3 linked regions of the Macaca mulatta genome follow. The main gene of each other region encodes a partner of the protein of the gene in region 3 in a complex. Links are inferred from orthologs where the notes say so. Each region holds a gene or a part of one and is shown on either strand. Other genes may lie near its edges.

Region 1 (4,221 bases), on a different chromosome or scaffold from region 3:
CAAATTTCAGCTAATTACAATGAAGGACTTTTGAAGAATTAGCTGATTTCTGCAGATACTGGAGGAAAGCCTGGATCCCCCAGTCCTGTATTGAATGAACGATTGTTCGAGATGACTGGTTAGTCTAGATTTCCTTTCCTTCTTCCTCTCTTTCTCTCTCTCTCTTTTTTCTGGCTCCCTTTCTTCATCCCTCCCTCCCTGCCTTTCTTCTGCCCCTACTGCTCTAAGAATTTCGTGCAATTGCTTTTAGGTTTTCTGTAGTGATTTATATTGTTTTTTCGATTTATACCACTGAGGACTGTGGCCACGAGAGGGCAGTAGAGGAAGCTTAACAGAGTACTTGGACAGGAGTAAACTCGTGTGAGCTCTAATCGCCAGCAGGGACTACGCAGACCCTGCGAACTCGCTGGGGTCCAGCTTGCAGGCCCCTTCCGAAAAGCAGTGTTTAGAAGCTGCAGAGTTACTGAGACTGTGTAGCAAGGCATCAGTGGCCTTGAGGGCACCGAGGCATTGTCGTCCAGAATCCTGAAACCTCTCACCTTAGGTTATTAAAATAAGTTATCTTATCGCCACCCCTCTGATTCCCCTGGCAAAAAGATTCTCTGAATTGGATATAGAAAGCTCTTCTCCGGTCCCCAATGCCCTCATCCAAGTCGGGACTTCTCAGATGCCCAGGATCCCTATCAGGGCTGGAAGCCTGAGATTCAATTCAGAGCAAGGTTCATCTTCTCGTTGCAATAATAATAACAACTTCAAGCCTTATTTGACAGCTTGCTGGCTTTTTTTTTTTTTTTTTTTTTAATTTACAAGAAGAGGAAATTTGCTCCCACAAATTCCAAGACTCTAGTCTCAACCCCATCAGACAAGCCCCGTTCCTCCCCGCTCACCCCTCACTCAAAGATCAAGAGGGAGGTGTGCAGGATGTGCGCGGTGACAGGTGATGCGAATGGCGGGGGAGTCCCTGTCCCTACTGCCCTCACCCACTCTTCCTGTGTCCTGAGCTCCCCGCTAACCCCAACGCTCGACCTTCTATCTCCACCGGGGGCTAAACCAGCTGGGTTCGCAAGGCCCTACTCGAATTCCCGGGCCCTGGTAGCATTTTCCTTGCCCCCTTGGCTACTTAAGGTGGCCAATGGGTCCGGGCTGAGCTGGGCGCAGGACAGGCAGCGGAGCGGCCTCCGGATGCCAAACCTGCTTCTCCTTTGTTGACAGCTTGCGGAGGAGGAAGTCCGCGCGGGCGGGGGAGGGGGCACGGGGCTGGCTGTGGCGGGCGGTGCCAGCAGCGGGCGCGGCCCCAGCTCGGGCGGCCGCGGCCGGCGGGGAGGGGGTTAACGCGCGCGGCCTCTATGATAATGAGCTGCATGGTAAAATAGGGAGGCCGGCGCTCAGGGCTCCGCCGCCGCCGCCGCCGCCGCCACCGCGGGAGCCAGAGCTGCCGGGCTGAGAGGCATCCGCGCCAGACTGGAGCGGGAGGGCAGCGGAGCGCAGTTGCTGAGAATTTTTCAGCCGAGAGGGCGAGCGATCCGGAGAGAGACCCCGCGAGCTTGGGAACGGTAGGCAGCGCGAGGGCCGCAGCCGGCGGAGCAAACCTCGAAATAGATCTGGAAAGCCAGGCTCCCGGAGGAAATGGGACTGTGAACGAACCGGAGAGCAAGAAGGGAAGGAAGCGCCGGGATTGCTGATGTCAGAGGAGCCCGGAAAGTCGCGCTGGAAAAATCTGAAGACAGCCGGGGCTCTGCTTCTTCCCCACGAGAGACACCGCCGGCCACCCCCACACGCCCCCTCGGCGCCTCCAGGTGCCCCCAGCGAGCCGGCGACAGCGCCCAGCCGGGCTGCTGCGGGGCGACGGAGGACTGAGGGGCGCGCGGAGCGGAGACCGCGGGGCGACTTCAGGAATACAGATAAGTGGCTGGTGGCTTGACGTGGATTTTAATGAATTTGGACTCCATGTGGATTTGGTCTTCTCCCTGATTCGGAGCTGCGGGCAGGGAGAGGGGCCTCGCGCCGCCCTCAGCAGCCGGCGGCCGAGGCAGACCGAGCAGGGACGGAAGGACAGACCGACGTCGCCGAGCTGGGTAAGCGGCGGCTGGGCCGGACGCTCGGAGTCGGCAGCGCCTTCAGCCTTCTCCCCACAGGCGCGCACACCCGTGGCGGCTTCTCCCGCACCCGCCTCTTTGGGGCCCCGGCCCCAGGCAACCGGGCTTGGCCGCGGCGGGCGAGTCCCCGTGTGGGCTCGGCCACTTTCGCGGGCCGGAGCGCGGCGTGCGCGCGATCTCAGGCTCACTGGAGCCGGTGCCTCCCGCCCAGGGCTTCCCGGCCGGCAGCCAGCAGGCTTCCCGGCCGCGGGCTGAAGGCGGCAGCAGCGCTCCGCGGCGCGCCTCCACCGCGCACCTGCCGGCGCTCTGCGGCTTTGGGGAGCTCGGGGCGGCAAGGCTGTCCCGAGAGCTGGAGCCCAAAGAGGGCCTCGGTGGCACCAGCGAGACAACCCAAAGCCACAGTGGCCAGCGATCGATTTGGGGGCGTTCACTCCAGTGCCAGAGTCCCTGGTGGCCGCCGGCTGTCCCTTCAGATCCGGGACTGGAGATCAGGGGAAGGGGAAAACATCATTTGCGCGGGTTCCATAAGGCTCAGGGAGAGATTCCCAGGCACTGAATGGGTCTGAGTGTTTCATCTCCCAGGACTCCCTTTGCAGTGTATCGCCCAGCAGGGGTCCAGCCCCATAGTTTGAGGACCACGCGAGTGCTGGGGGTTGAAATGGGAGTTTGCTTAGGGTCCCAGAGGCTCCTTATGAACCATTTGAGAATATTTCCTTCCATGTGCTCTTTCTTGCCCCACCCCACAAGTTAGGTAGGGATCCTGGAAAATTCTAGCCCTTTTTATCCATCCCACAGGTAGTCTCTATAATACCAATCATGGTCTAGATGCCCAGAGAGTCACCAGAAACTACCATTCTAGGTCCCCGAAAAAGTGTCCACCTGTTTGGAATGACCCTTGCCCTAGTGGGACCTACCTAATCAAACTCAGCTCTGCTCAGGAGGGATAGAAATAATGGGGGAGAGGAAGTTGGATAAGAGATTTGAGGTTCTAGGTCAGCAAGGGTCTAGAAATGAGAGCCCCAGGAGGTGGGCAATGGAAATATGAACAGGATTCCTGTAGGAATCTAAGATGTTAGAGTGACAGTGGCACATCATAGAAGGTACACAAGGGACATGAAGGCAGGATCAGTTTGAGGGGATTGGGACTGCCAATCACAGCTTGAGGCAGTCACTTGGGGGCCCATTGGCTTGGAGGAACCCACAGAAATTTGGGGTCACATTCATTTCCTTCCATTCACGTGCCCAGTGGACAAGGCTTATGAGCGGCAGGCCAAGATGAATATCTTGGCTGGCCTGGGCTGGACACTTTGAGAGCACGAGTCAGGTTTAGCTCTCCCCTCTCCCCACACAATAGCAGTCTCCCTCCTTTGCTGGGCTTCTTTCCTAGACATTGAAACCTCACTGTTCCCTCTGGGTTGACTTTGGATTCTGGGGCCTTCTACTGAGTGACAGAGCCCCAGGAAGAGATAACCTTGGCTGGAGGAATTCAGCTATTCCTAACTGAAATGCACAACTTTTATGCAATGACCCCAGAAAGCTCCCAGAGTTTCTTGCAGCCCTCTCCCCTCTGACCTCCAGGCAAGAAAAGAGAAGAATTCATTAATTTCCCTCTCTCTTCACAGAGAACCATTTGAACTAATTACCTGGGATCTCTCCTCGGTGGTGTCCTGGGGGCTGAAGGGGCAGTGAGGAGAAAGGGTAGGGAACCAAGGAAACAGAGTGGAATCTGTGGAAATACCCTAGCGAGGTTGTTTTTCATTCCCCTTCTTCCACCCAGCATCACCACCAACCCCTCCTCATCCCGGAACTTGCCCCTGCTGCCACCAGCCAGCATTACCTAAAGGAGTTATTTCCCTCCACTCTGCAGCTGATCCTCTTCAGGGACCCGCTGATAAAGGGAGGGCAATGCAGACTGCCCTCTCTGCTCCCTCACTGTCCTCAGCAAATTGCATTAGGATGGGGGCAAATTGGCTTGCAAAGCAGTTAAATGGAAATGACATTTGGAGTGATGTGCAGGGAAGATGCTGAAGAGCAGCAGTGGTAAAGTACCAGGAGATCTCCTCTACCCAGGGACCATGAGTCTGCCAAGGAAATCCCAGCTGGTCCTTCTTTTTGACAGGGCATA
Region 2 (4,022 bases), on a different chromosome or scaffold from region 3:
TGTATGCCCCCCTCTCCGCCCCACATCGCCACTGCCAGGGTGGCTCCGTGCGGGCCGAGGGGACCCAGGGGGGTGTCGGCAAACATTGGTAGGGCGAGAGCCGGCGAGCCAGGCGGCGGCGGGTGGGAGAGTGTAGGGAGGCGCCCCCTGCCCCCTCTGCCAGCAGCTCTCCCTCGGTCTAGATGTCAGCCGCGAGCTCCGAGCCAGCGAGAGCGAGCCAGAGAGGGAGCGGCGGCGGGCGGCGGGCGGCGGGCGGCGGGGAGGAGAGGAGGCGAGGCGAGGGAGGGAGGAAGGGAAGCAGGGAGGGCGGGAGGGAGGAGAGGAGGACCCAGAGAGCGCCAGGCAGCTGGAGTTTTTGCAGCGCTTGGCCGGGCTTCAATGCACAGCAGCAGCGAGCCGCGGCGGCAGCAGGCAGCCCGGGAGCTCCGGCGGCGGCCGAGCCAGCGGCGGCCCCGCTCCCTGCCCCCTGCAAACTTTGCTAGCAGCCCGCCCGGGGGGCCGGGGGCGCGCCCGGGAGGCCCGGCTCGGCCCGCGGCCGAGCTCTCCTCTGCCGCAGCGCCAGCCGCCGCCACCACCACCGCCGCAGCCCCGCGCCTCCCCGGGGAGCAGCCGGCGGCTCCCGAGGCCCCCCAGCCCCGGCCCCAGGGCACTGCCCGGCGAATTCCCCGGCAAGGGTGGGGGCTGCAGCGGCGCGGCCGGCCGCGGGCTGCCGGGGGGCGGCCGCCGCTACCCAGAGAGGCGCGCAGAGGCGCCGAGAGCGCTCCCCGGCGGGTCCCCCGCGCACTCGCCGCGCCCGGGCAGCGGCCCGACCGGGCGAGCATGGGCGGCGCGGAGTGACGCCGCTGTGCCCGCTTGGCATCAAGGACATTCAGCCCGCGGGGGTGGGGACGAAGGGGGGCAGCCCCGCGTCGCCACCGCAGCCCCCGAGAGCCGCCGCCGCTGCTTAGACTCGGGGGTTGGGTGGAGAAAAGGGGTGTTCGGAATCGATCCCCATTTTCCGACCTTCTTGTTGGACATTACGCCCACCTTGGACGCCGCAAGAGGAGCTGTCAAGCCCCGCAGGCTCTGATTCGGCGCCCTCCGCGTTCCTCGGTTGCTCCCGGCTTCCCTGTGCCTCGGTGGAGTATTTGCGTTCGGGGCTGGGGCTGGAGGAGGCAGCCACACGCGCGCACACGCACACGTTCAGAGGAGGGCGAGAGGCAGCGGCATAGGCTCCATCTGCAGTGTCAATGCGGCGCTCCCGCTGAAGGAGGGAAACGCGGCGCGTCCAGGTAAGGAGCCGGCCAGCCGGGGAGCGGGGCCGGGCGGGCGGTGAGGGCAGCGCGGTCGGAGAGACCCGGGCCGGGTCGGCCCGGGAATCCTCGGTGCCCTGGAGCCAGCCCGCGGCACACGCACACACACACACGCAGGCACACACACAGATCCACACCGGCACACACGGCGCTCGCGCACCTGCCCACGTCCCACCTGGACGCCCGCGGAGGTGCAGCGGCCGGAGCAGGGATTTCCCGGGTGCGTTCTCCTCTCACTCTCCCGGACTCAGACTTCTCTTTCCCGGACTTTCGGGGTGGGATTCTGTGTATTCCCGGCTCTGCCTCCCACCCGAAAAGGTTGAGGGAGCGATTTTTTAGCTCTCAGCCCCTTTCATCCCTAGCTGGGCTTTAAAACGGGAGAAGTCCTGGGAGGTCTCCGGAGACCCACCCAGTGTCATCGCGGCCCCGTGGCCTTTGGACACCCTGGGATTTCAACGGGAGACAGAACCACAGATATTCGGCCGCCTATTTGGAGAGAGTGATGGCCCAACGCGTGGAGAGGAGGCCACATAGGCGGTTGGGGCTGCAGTTCTGTAGGGCGGTGCATATGGAACAGACACTGCGTTTCCCCAGTAAGAGGCAGCACAAACGCCTTTCTGAAGCGTGGCACTGCTTCCCCGGGAATGCGCCGAGATTTCAGACAGAAAGCGGCTTAAAGCATCGCCGCGTATGTTGCTTGTCTAGGGAAGGTACGGGGGTCATATCCTCCTTAAAAGGTATGACCTTATTCACAGCCTCAGTCCCTGCTTAGCAGCAAGGAGACAGGGCTTGGAGACACAGGACTTGGGTCCCCTCTCACCTCCCTACCCTTCCTTGGCACATGGGGCTGCCTTCCCCGGTGCCTCCGGCTGGCGAACACCTGTCACATGCCTTTCGAGGTGTGTGTCTGAGAAAGATAACTAGAAGGGGGAAGCACGAGGGGTGTAGTTCTCCAAAAGAGGAGGCTTCCCTCCCTCACGACCGCGGCGGGCGGCGGTGCCCACTGGAGGAGGCAAAGCATTCATGGGTCTGCCAGCGTCCCCCAGAGCCCAGGGCTGCTCCGAGTGTAGAACCACTCCACAGAAGCCCGTTCTTTAAGGTCCTATTTCCCGAAAGCATTTTCGTTCTTGTTCTCTCTGGCTGGAGTTTCACAGGCTGCTCATTTTAACTTTTTCTGGAGGAGGTAGGAAGTGTCTGGGGTTCTAAGAGGCTTTTCCATAGTTCCCTTCTTAGGGTCTAAGAGCAACTCATTTAGGGTCTCAGTTGTCATAGGGAGAAGAACATGAGCTCCAAAACAAATTTGGAATTGAATATACATGTACAAGCTCCTGCGTTTCTGGAGCTGTCCCTTTGAGGTACCTTTCTGGGCAACCTGATCATATCATTCTCCCCCAGAACCGAGTAAGCTTGTACCCTCTGTCCAAGATCATGTGTTCAGAGTATCCCACAAACCCACCAGTGGGAAAAATACGTTACGAGTCTTCCAGAACATGATGGGAGAGGAGCAAACATTCTTTTGAACAAGGAGGCCTCAGTGCTAGGCTCAGAATTTGGGTTGTTTTTGTAAATCCTGAAGATGGGGGTTGAATGAAACGGCTTTTTCAGCACCCTGACTCCGCTATTTCCAAACTTTTTTCAGCTCCTGCAAAGGTCTCTGGCTAGGCTGGGGAGAAGCGCAGACGCCCCGGGAGGGAGATTGTATTCCCGCTGTATGCTGTGTGAGCTGCCCTTTGATTGACTGAAAAGCGTAGATGGAATAAAGCAAATCTCTCACAATGGGGAGACCCCAGTAGGGGGAAGAAACCTTATTTGCTTTTTAAGCATGGTGGGCGTGTGCACACACATACACACCCAAGATATATACCCACATGCGTTCTCAGAGTCTGGCTAAATGTGGTCAGCTCCCCTAGCCATGTGTGACAATGGGGTCCACCTCTGTCTTCCGGGCTGTGGAAGAAATGGAACATTTCTCCCCACATGCCCCTCGAGGGCGTGGACAGGTAGGTCCCACCTACTTGTACAGCAGCACATGGTTTGCAATAGAAATAATGAGCTCCAGCAACAGTGGGTGCCTCCCAGGTAAACAGTCCCTCACGAGACCTGGAAGAGGCAAAGGGATAGGGTACAGGATCTTCCTGAAATGTCTGCATCTTCCCTGCAGACCTCCACTCCTTTCTCTGCTTTCCTCTCTACCCTCTTTCCTTTCTCATGTATTTGCAGCCTCAGGATCCATCATTTTAATGCAAAGCCAGCAGTCATTATGCTGGTTATAAGCTAAACATCTGGGTTCAAACAATCTCCGCACTTTCCGCACTTAGCATTAGGTACCAATTTGGTTTCTAGGACAAGGCAAGCATTAATTAACATCTCTGTAAAGCGGAGTATATATCACGTTTTCCTGGCTCTCTTGCCCAGCCCTGGAGCATGCCATGCTGTCATTCACCCTCTCTGCCACTCTTCTGTGCCCTTCCTTTTAAGTTCTCTGAGGTCTTTCTCACTGGGAAGGGATTCACACTAGAAAAACTCCAGCCATGAATGCTTCTTTTCAGCAGACCCTCACTGCCTGGTAGATGGTGCTTAAGGCAGCTCTCCTGTGAGCACTAGGCGTAGGTCACCTGCAAGCTGCTCCTTCTTGCCCAATCACACCCTCCCGGGGCTCTCCTCTGTCCTCCCAGGACTTCACCCTGGATGCCCACCGGGACACTGCAGACATTTCTGGAGGACTCCAAG
Region 3 (3,500 bases):
TTGTGGGTAGGAAGTGATCATGGTGCAGTTGAGTGAGGATGTCCAATGGGAGAGCATCCCTCTACCTACGTCCACTTCTCTCCTTCTTTCTAACACCCATTCTCTGACTGGCCTCAATAAACTTCGAGCAGTGAGCTCAATAAGTGGGATTAAGACATGGCAGCAGCATTGCCAATTTCAGTCTTTTTTCCATAAGACTGGGGGGACGGAGGCACAATGGGTGTATTTTTTTCCCATCTTGGTGGATTGATGGATCTTGATGGATCTTGATGGATCACCATCAAGGTGATCACATCTTGATAAATTAGTGGGCAAACAAATCCTAAGTGTGAATGGATCAGCTCAGTCACAGAGGACACCCTGCAAGGTCGGAGAGCGAGAGGGACATTCGTCCTGCAGTATCAAACCTACTAGAGGGGCTAGAGTTGCCACTTGTGAACACCCTTCCCTTATGATTCCACCCACTGGTTTGAAGAAGGGTGGGCTCTCACATAAGCAGCCAGGTAAGGAAAGGAAACTGCCCGTGAACACATCCACATCCACCTGGACACTGTTGACACAGGCGAGCAGAGAGGAGTATGTGCCCACGTGTGCACAGTGAGAAAGCACCTTGCAAACACACAAGCCTCTTGGGCAACAAACACAACCTCCTGCTGCCCATTGAGGCCCGAGCAGCAGATTCACACTTAATCAGGTGAGGCGTTAGAGAAGATGATTTCTATTTGCAAAGCCAACAGTGAAACATGGGTTGTGTGTTTAGACCAGGTGGTGGCAGGAGGAAATGTTCCCAGTGGGGGTCATTAAAAGTGAAGCCAAGAGAAAGTCCTCGCAGTTCAGCAAGTGTCTATGTTGCCAAAATGGCACGTTCTAATGAACCTCAACAAGGCAACCTTCCTCTCCTTGGGCCAGAAGCCCACCTCAAATAGGAGCAGGGCTCACAGGAGAGATGCAAGCTCTCAGGTGTGTTTAAGGAATTCAAAAACCGTGAAAACAAACTATGGGAAAAATAATCTGAACTTGAAAAAGTTTTTTTTAAAAGACTACTACATTATTAGGAAGAACTACAGGTTTATGATTATCAAGGAGTCATATTGACAGAAGTTTCTTTAATCAGAATTCCTGCTGCTCAAATGATAAATAAAAATACATCTCAATGATTTCATTTAATGCATGTGTTCACATGGATGCTGCTGTGCGATCTTAAAGTTGCATGAAAACAGGGTTTCTTAGGCCCAGCGTGGTGAATCATGCCTGTAATCCCAGCATTTTGGGAGGCCAGTGTGGGAGGATTGCTTGAGACCAGGAGTTTGAGACTAGCCTGGGCAACACAGGCAACAAAGACTCTATCTCTTCTTAAAGAAAAAATTAATCTTTTTAAGAACTAGCTGAGCATGGTGACACGGGCCCATAGTCATAGCTACTCAGAATGTTGAGGCAGGATGATCACTTGAACCAAGGAGTTTGAGGCTGCAATGAGCTATGATCGCACCACTGCATCCCAACCTGGGCAACAGGAGTGTCTAAACATAACAAATAAATAAATAAATAAGGTTTCTTCTTAGAGAGCCAGGCGTTTTCAGTCCAGGCTATGCACAGACTTTGCTTTCAGTTTGCTTGTGATGGTACAAATGCCAGCTTGAGCCATAGCCTGTGTCCATATGAAAATGTATTCCATTATAAGTAGTATCCTAATTAGTGCCACTCAGCCTTCCCCTAATCAAATGTCCATTTTGCAGGAGCTGAGAGCAGGGCCTCAGGTGCCCATGAGGTCCCCAAGTATGCACACTTCTCCCTTTCCACTACATATTTTAGTTCTTGGCACTCAGCGCAGGAAGCTTTTGATTAGTGAGACTTGAAATAAGAGAGATAAAAGTGTGGTAATCCTGGCCACTCTCCCTAACACAGTTCTTTGTCATAGCAGGAGATGGCAACTTCATCTATTCCCAAGCTGATGAAAATCAGAAGGGCAAAGTGGCTCGCCTGGTGAGCCCTGTGGTTTATTCCCAGAACTCTGCCCACTGCATGACCTTCTGGTATCACATGTCTGGGTCCCACGTCGGCACACTCAGGGTCAAACTGCGCTACCAGAAGCCAGAGGAGTACGATCAGCTGGTCTGGATGGCCATTGGACACCAAGGTGACCACTGGAAGGAAGGGCGTGTCTTGCTTCACAAGTCTCTGAAACTTTATCAGGTATGACCTCTTCCCAAGGCTGGAAAGGGCAGTGGCTGCAGGAATACTGAGACGATATGTTGGAGGTTGTGCAAATGAGATGCGGGAATTATTCTGAAATTATTTCCAGTGTTTCCCAACCCTGAGATATTGCTGCAATGATAACCACCTTCATAGCAGATTTCACAGTCTCCTATATTGTAGGAACAGAACCAATTTGCTGAGAAAGAACACAAAGGACTTCCATGTCATCTATTTCTGGGCTTTCACAATGTATTATTCCTTTTGTTTGCTGCTTTCTCCCATTTTAAAGTTTGTATTATAAAAAGAGAGTGTGAGGAGAAGGTGCATGCCATCACCAGGCAGCTAATGTGGATTGATGAGTGAAGTGTGTGCTTACACTGAATCTGATGAATTTAATTTATGTGTCATAGCGGGAGCTGAACAAGCATTTGTAAACTCTGCCACGTGAGATGAGCATTTCAATACTGTGAAAATGATCTTATTTTGTTAGGTGATTTTCGAGGGCGAAATCGGAAAAGGAAACCTTGGTGGGATTGCTGTGGATGACATTAGTATCAATAACCACATTTCACAAGAAGATTGTGCAAGTAAGTATGAGCTGCTGTAGAAACCAATGGAGTACTTGCCCAGGGCAAGACTCTTGCCAAAGTGGTGGTCTTTGTTTTGCCCATTTCTACTTGGAATTTCCGTGTGGCCTCTCGACACATCATAGGAAATGCATATTCTGGTGCAACAGGGCATAAAATCAGCCCAATTTACCTGTGGCTGTCCCATTACCTACCCTAGGTCCTTCATAATGTCTGCTTGATACCTACAAAACTCCACAAATAATGCAGAATCCAAAGAGTATAGCTAAGAAGACCCAGCTTACAAGCTGTATATGCCATACGGAAACATTTTGATGAGCAGCGGAAAGTCAGACATTGGATAATTCCAAATATCTGAGTGTATAAACAAAACAGCAAGCCTCTGAAAACTTTGATCAGGACGAGTTTAATTAAGAATACATTGTTAATGAACCATAGAAGCCATAATTCTTTGCTTTATTACAAATAAGTAGATGTTTCTGACTTTTAAAATAGCTGAAATGGCTTAAAAGACTTAAATGAAATTCAGAAACTTGGCCTAGTATTTCAGAGTTGGTCTTTATGGTTCTTGTACTAGGTGGATGTAAGACATAGAAAACCAATTCATATTCCCTAGTTCTTGATATATAATTACAAATAGCATTACTAATGGCAGTGTAATAGCATGGTAATTAGTCTTAAGCTCCATTTGCTACATTGAAACTTTTGTTATACATC

The links. The genes of interacting proteins can lie anywhere in the genome.
Region 1: the proteins of NRP1 (region 3) and PLXNA2 are in contact, whole or in part, in a crystal structure (PDB 4GZA), measured with the Mus musculus proteins. The link is inferred for Macaca mulatta from reciprocal best matches to the Homo sapiens genes NRP1 and PLXNA2. Residues at the interface, in NP_032763.2 of Mus musculus: Glu78, Arg80, Asp81, Lys83, Tyr84, Asp126, Tyr127, Glu128, Thr129; in NP_032908.2 of Mus musculus: Asp273, Leu274, Phe275, Glu306, Lys341, Gly342, Gln343, Lys344, Gln345, His348, Pro350.
Region 2: the proteins of NRP1 (region 3) and PLXNA4 are in contact, whole or in part, in a cryo-EM structure (PDB 7M0R), measured with the Mus musculus proteins. The link is inferred for Macaca mulatta from reciprocal best matches to the Homo sapiens genes NRP1 and PLXNA4. Residues at the interface, in NP_032763.2 of Mus musculus: Arg80, Tyr84, Asp126, Tyr127, Glu128; in NP_786926.2 of Mus musculus: Glu272, Lys340, Lys343, Lys345, Leu349.

The regions. Positions count from the first base shown.
Region 1 is NC_133406.1:65,981,083-65,985,303, reverse strand, and holds the start of PLXNA2 (plexin-A2), read left to right. Parts: upstream 1-1,421; 5' UTR 1,422-2,075; intron 2,076-4,221. UniProt on the Homo sapiens protein: Coreceptor for SEMA3A and SEMA6A. Necessary for signaling by SEMA6A and class 3 semaphorins and subsequent remodeling of the cytoskeleton. Plays a role in axon guidance, invasive growth and cell migration.
Region 2 is NC_133408.1:172,283,205-172,287,226, reverse strand, and holds the start of PLXNA4 (plexin-A4), read left to right. Parts: upstream 1-1,222; 5' UTR 1,223-1,271; intron 1,272-4,022. UniProt on the Homo sapiens protein: Coreceptor for SEMA3A. Necessary for signaling by class 3 semaphorins and subsequent remodeling of the cytoskeleton. Plays a role in axon guidance in the developing nervous system. Class 3 semaphorins bind to a complex composed of a neuropilin and a plexin.
Region 3 is NC_133414.1:34,571,052-34,574,551, reverse strand, and holds part of NRP1 (neuropilin-1), read left to right. Parts: intron 1-1,921; coding exon 1,922-2,193; intron 2,194-2,686; coding exon 2,687-2,783; intron 2,784-3,500. UniProt on the Homo sapiens protein: Cell-surface receptor involved in the development of the cardiovascular system, in angiogenesis, in the formation of certain neuronal circuits and in organogenesis outside the nervous system. Mediates the chemorepulsant activity of semaphorins.